2 linked regions of the Macaca mulatta genome follow. The protein of the gene in region 1 purifies or fractionates together with the protein of each later gene. This does not show direct contact. Links are inferred from orthologs where the notes say so. Each region holds a gene or a part of one and is shown on either strand. Other genes may lie near its edges.

Evidence for each region.
Region 2: the proteins of H1-1 (region 1) and SF3B1 purify together in Homo sapiens (affinity purification with mass spectrometry; 3 studies listed by BioGRID and IntAct, counting the BioPlex papers as one, with this or other methods). This does not show direct contact. The link is inferred for Macaca mulatta from reciprocal best matches to the Homo sapiens genes H1-1 and SF3B1.

Annotation. Positions count from the first base shown.
Region 1 is NC_133409.1:157,091,690-157,094,171, reverse strand, and holds H1-1 (histone H1.1), read right to left. Parts: upstream 1,239-2,482; coding exon 591-1,238; downstream 1-590. UniProt on the Homo sapiens protein: Histone H1 protein binds to linker DNA between nucleosomes forming the macromolecular structure known as the chromatin fiber. Histones H1 are necessary for the condensation of nucleosome chains into higher-order structured fibers.
Region 2 is NC_133417.1:102,341,139-102,344,798, forward strand, and holds part of SF3B1 (splicing factor 3B subunit 1), read right to left. Parts: intron 3,599-3,660; coding exon 3,401-3,598; intron 3,303-3,400; coding exon 3,201-3,302; intron 2,976-3,200; exon of another isoform or gene 2,840-2,975; intron 1,895-2,839; coding exon 1,715-1,894; intron 1,161-1,714; coding exon 1,074-1,160; intron 948-1,073; coding exon 677-947; intron 259-676; coding exon 113-258; intron 18-112; coding exon 1-17. UniProt on the Homo sapiens protein: Component of the 17S U2 SnRNP complex of the spliceosome, a large ribonucleoprotein complex that removes introns from transcribed pre-mRNAs.

The sequences.
Region 1 (2,482 bases):
AGAGGACGCCAACGTGGGCGCCAGTCACGCCAGAAGGGTCACCGTCATTCCCAAGGACAGACACCTCTCTAGCCACTGCTGCGGAGAGGGCGTGATTAAGCCATGAATTTTGCTTACTATCCCAGAAGCATTTCTTAGGACCACCCAATTTCGGAAAAGGCTACTTTAGCAATATTGACCCAAGAACGCAATGTCCGCACTTTAACCTTGCATAATAAAAAAGCCTCAAGCCTGGGACTAGGCTTCAACCTTGGTTCGTTACAGTTATGACTAATTAGCTTGGGGTCGTGAGATGCGGGACTTCGGGCTACTTAAAAAAAAAAAAAAAAAAAAGCAAAACAGGTGATCTAAAATTCGACTTTAACTCGGTGCATTTGAATTCACCTTGCTATCTTTGATAGCCTCATCTGGCAAGAATTTACTACTCAACCTATGTTAAAGTTCCTATTGACTCTCCAAGTGATTCTAATATAAATGAGGGCGTATTGCATTTGCTTGGGGGAATTTCATCTGTGTACTACAGCTCTTTTCCCGAAGTGTGTAGGTGGCTCTTAAAAGAGCCGTTGGGTTAGTAAAGTTTCCAACCGAATTTACTTTTTCTTGGGTGCCGCTTTCTTGGGTTTGGCAGTCTTTGGCTTCGTCACCTTAGCCTTGGCCGCCTTGGGTTTTATAGCCTTAGTTTTAGCAGGGCTTTTAGCTACTTTCTTGGGTTTTACAGCTTTGGGTTTTTTGGGACTCTTAGAGGATTTCCTTGTTGCCGCAGACTTTTTAGCATTTTTTGGAGTCTTGACGTTCTTTTTGCTAACCCCCGTGGCCTTTTTGGGCTTTTTAGACGCACCCGTTGCCTTGGTTTTTGCAGCCACCCTTGAAGCGCCGGGCTTGGTTTCCACGGAGGATGCCTTCTTGTTGAGTTTGAAGGAACCCGAGGCGCCGGTGCCCTTCGTCTGCACCAACGTTCCCTTGCTTACCAGGCTCTTAATACCCAGCTTAATGCGGCTGTTGTTCTTCTCCACATCGTAGCCTGCGGCCGCCAGCGCCTTTTTAAGAGCAGCCAACGACACACCACCACGCTCCTTAGAGGAGGAAGCAGCCTGCACGATCAGCTCTGACACGGAAGGGCCAGCAGGCTTTTTCTTAGTGGCCACCGCAACCTTAGCAGGTTTCTTTGCCTTCCTGCTAGCTGAAGGTTTCTCAGGAGCAGCAGAAGCGGCGGGAGCGGGAGGCGCCGTTTCGGACATGGTGACTAATACAGCACACCAAGTAAACTGGTATAAACCTGACCAAGCAGGATGCGAGAAAAAAAAGGCCCCGACTCAGCCTATTTATAGGGTGGGACTGCGCAGTGATTGGTGCCCGTCAGTGCCCGCCCCTCGCACCCTAGCGCCCCCTGCGCTCTGCAGAGGGTTTCCCCCAGTCTCAGAGAGCACCTGGGGGCCTCTAGGGCCTATGGTCCCGCTCCCCTCAACGCAAGCAAACACACCGAAAAAGCCGCTCCGATTGCCTCATTGTGAAGGAAATTGTAGGCCGACTGCCACCTAGTAACATCAGAGGGTGCCGCTTGTCTCTCAAAAAGCAGCTCTGTTTTAGGGAGTAGGTTGATGGGGAGCGGTTTGCAAATGCAGCCCCACAAGCATCCAGGGAGTTTTATTAGAAAGTTTTAGAGGTCCGTTGCCAGATATGTTAGTTTTTAATTTGCAAGAAATGTAAAATACAGTGTTTGAATAGTTGGGGAGGAAGAGGAAAGTGCGGGTTTTAGGCCGTGTTAGGGCTAGTAGTCATCAACTCGATTACATTTTCTGGCAATGTTTTAGAGCGATGTGTCTCGCGAATACCTTTCACGTCAAAGAAGAATGAATCGTAGACAACACCAGAATTCACTAACGCTGCAATTAATACTCAAACTGCAAGTGTGGAAACGTTTCTGCACTTGTAACTTACTTCCACAGTCCAATGTGGGATGCACTTCAGGAATTTCCAATGCCCTTTTCATCCATACAACATGCCCCAAATGGGTGTTAAGGTTTACAACCTGTGTTCCATGTCAGCACATGCAATGAGAGCACCATGACATGGTGAACTCATTGTTTTATTCAACAAAGATTTATGGGCCTCACAAACCTGCGAAAGGCGTTAAATGCTGGGTCCAAGAAACTGGTTCCCCGACAGGCATTCTGCTGGGGAGTTAAGTCTCCTTAGTGTGAAAACAAACGGTAAGTGTAAGCACACCCTGGGGATAAGATTTTATGGTAACCTCTCTTTAGCTTGTTTGTGGCTGTTAAGAGCATTTCAAATTATCAATAAGCTAAAACGATCTCACATTGCCAATCAGAGACTCAGCTAACGGGAGAACAAAAAAAACTATTAAATCGACATCCACTTCTACAATCCTATTCTGGATAACCCCCTAACACAGCGGAGAGTGAGGGAATGCGGTCTATTTCCGTTCGTGCTGTTGTAGTTTTTAAATAAGTCCGAACTGTGC
Region 2 (3,660 bases), on another chromosome or scaffold:
AAGAAAGCAGCCAAACCCTATTTTTAAATAAAAATATATGTACTTTAGTAATTTAGATTTATGTCACCTTAACTTTAATGAAGATAAATCAAAAGGTAATTGGTGGATTTACCTTTCCTCTGTGTTGGCGGATACCCTTCCATAAAGGCTTTAACACAGAATCAAAAGATTCGATACCATAAGGAGTTGCTGCTTCAGCCAAGGCAGCAATGGCCAAAGCACTGATGGTCCGAACTTTCTGCTGCTCATCCACAAGACCTACAAAACCAAACACAGGTTTTAACTATGCCCCAACATTACCTAAGTCACACAATGTCATCCAGATTCTCACAATATATCAACTATTTAGCCAAACTACAGAATACGTTCACATTAAAATTAGGTAAAAGCAAAATATGAACCATAGCCTGTTAGCAGATAATATTACAAACCCATCATAAAATCTATAGTTTGTACAGTTATGCCTTTCCATTTATCTCCCCAAATCAGTAGCCCAAATTTTAGGACAGCTGTCTATTAAAAGTAGACAGGCTGTGTGTGTACTTCTAGTCCCAACTACTCAGAAGGCTGAGCAGGAGGATCACTTGAGCCCAAAAGTTTGAGTCCAGTCTGGGCAACATAGTAAGACCCTGTCTCTTAAAGAGAAAAAAAAAAAAAAAGTTACATTACAACTTACCATGTTCAATGATTTCAACTAAACTTCTAAGATGTGGCAAGATGGCACAGCCCATAAGAATAGCTATCTGTTGTACAATCTTAATACCAGTGTGTCTCGCTTGCCAGGACTTCTTGCTTTTGCACACAGCTTTTAAGAAAGGCAATAAAGAAGGAATGCCCAGGGCAGAGGCTACAACAGCAAAAGCTCTAGCTGTTGTGTTACGGACATACTCATCCATGTTATCTATATCAGGTCTCATGGTAGAGATCATAGTAGCCAGACCAGCAGCCTAAAAAGTAAACAAAGAAAGGACAGTCATGAGTTGGTAATATTAATCTTCAACCATTTCCTTCCATAATCAAATAATTCCATAAACAGAAATAAATTGTCTTCTCTAGAAATTAAATGTAAATACCTTTGCCAAATTAGAAATGATCTCTCGGCCTTCCACTCTAGCATAGTAATCTTCATCAATCAATAGTGGTTCAATGACCACAAGGATCTGAAAAAGAGAAAAAAGAGAAGCAGCTACACTTTCACATCAATTACTGATGAAATACTCATGTACAGAATTAAACATATACAAGAAATTTAGATTTATCAGGATTTTCGTTAATCAAGGGACAAATTGTTTAAGAATTTTAATTACACAAGTTCAAACTCCAGATAGAGATGAAAATTTAAGAGAGCTATTAGTGACACACTAATATTCAATATTTTTTAAAGAAATAACTTATATGCCCCATGAACATACTGCACCATAATTAACATCGGTGAAAAAACTGGTTCTTAATACTAACTGGCACAGTACAGAATCACATATGTTCTCCTCCTAATCTAATCTCAATAAAAGCAAATGAAAATATTAAATAATATGAATGTCTTATGGCAAAGATGATAAAAACTAATGTCTGTACATCTGTATAAAACTGTATTTGTACATGTATGATGTGTACTTGTGCAAAGAAAAAGGTCTAGAGGGATATGTAAATTTAACATTGATTAACTGAAAAAGTTAAAATATTAAAACTATCAGAAACACTATTAAGAACAAACCTTATGCACATATGGACGAACTAAGTCATCAAGTTTGTATAGTATCCTATCAATAACTTTCACAAGTAAATGACGCTCTTGATCCTCAAGTGTAGGAGACATCAGTAGAGGAAGAATCTGATTAAACAAAGGACCAGCTCCAAATTCACGAGCTTTATCAGTAATCTGACGCAATGCAGCCTGGGAAAAAGAGCAGAGTATAGGTGTGGTTTCTTTACAATCAAGCATTTTGAATGAGCAAATTACTCAAAGAAGATTTTCCATAATTTAATATGTGTTTACTTTTACACACATTTTACACAGACAGCATGAGTGCATTTCCATCCAAATTACTCTGGAATTTCAACTACTGTGATAGATATTTTATGTTAATTCAAAAGAGTAATTTAATAGAACAAAAGAACCACAGAGGTATGTACCAAATTAGCCTTCACTTCCCCTAAAGTATCTTCCATTTCCAAGGCACATATAGTGTTAATATAATCCCTCACTAATTTCACTAATTATCTTCAAGCTTTAAGCATATTTTAAAGGCCTTGAGAAATGGAGAATCTCGTATTTCAGCATCTTTATTAGCTTTTTTAACCAAAGAATTCTGTGCTAACTCCAGCTGGGCATGGTGGCTCACACCTGTAATCCCAACACTTTGGGAGACTGAGGCAGGAGGATCTCTTGAGCCCTGGAGTATTTAAATAATAAAAACAAACGGCTGGGCACGGTGGCTCACGCCTGTAATCCCAGCACTTTGGGAGGCTGAGGCAGGTTAATCATTTGAGGTCAGGAGTTCAAGACCAGCCTGGCCAACATGGTGAAACCCCGTCTCTACTAAAAATATAGAAATTAGCAGGGCGTGGTGGTGCACACCTGTAGTCCCACCTACTTGGGAGGCTGAGGCAGGAGAATTGCTTGAACCCAACAGGCAGAGGTTGCAGTGAGCCAAGACTGCACCACTGCACTCCAGCCCGGGCAAGACAGCAAGACCCTGTCTCAAACATATATATATAATATTAATAACAAAAACAAGCAAAAAAGTTAAATCCTTCACACTAATTTTTTTCCATCATGCTATGTCCTTGATAAAGATGAAGAAAGTAATTATAAATTCCTAAACACAAAAATATAACACAACCAAAAGCTAATTTTTTTGTGGGGAAAGCTTTCTAAATAACCTTTACCAATTTGGGCTACTTGGAAGAGTAAAGGAAAGACCGCACTCCAGCGGGTTATACCAATAGTTCAGTACTATTTTGTGGCCTACTTTTCCTGGTGAAAAAATTAAAAACATTTTTAAAAATATAAACTTGGCCAGGTGCAGTGCCTCACACCTGTAATCCCAGCACTCTAGGAGGTAGGCCAAGGCAGAAAGATCACTTGAGACCAGCCTAGGCAACATGGCAAAACCCTGTCTCTACAAAAACTACAAAAAATTTTTTTTTATTTAAATAAATAAGCAACAAACATGACAATTTAACAAACTGAGACTTACCTTTCTCATTGGTGGTGTTCCATTCTTAATTTTTAAAAGCAACTTCATTATTTTTCTCTCTTTTTGCTCTTCTGGACTAAGTGTTGATTCATCAACATCAACCTACAGTAAAAAGAAAAAAATGTTAAGGGAAGTTGAAATGTTATGATTTATAATTCTGGAACAAAATGTAATAGTTTATTTCTGCTAGTATCACTTACCAATAGTTTATCAAAGTACTGAATATCATCAGGCTTTAAAAATGGAAGATTTCCAGATGGCTGATCATTAACACTTTTCATAGTTCGATCTTCAGTTTGCATGTGGAAACCAGTCATACCACCCAAAGGTGTTGGAGTAGCTGTCAGTTTTCGAGCTGGAGTTCGAATAGGAACATAACCAGCTGGAGGAGGAAGTACCTGATAAAAGTTATAAGACAGTTTAGGATTTTCTTAACTTAAAAAACAGCATAAGGATCAAT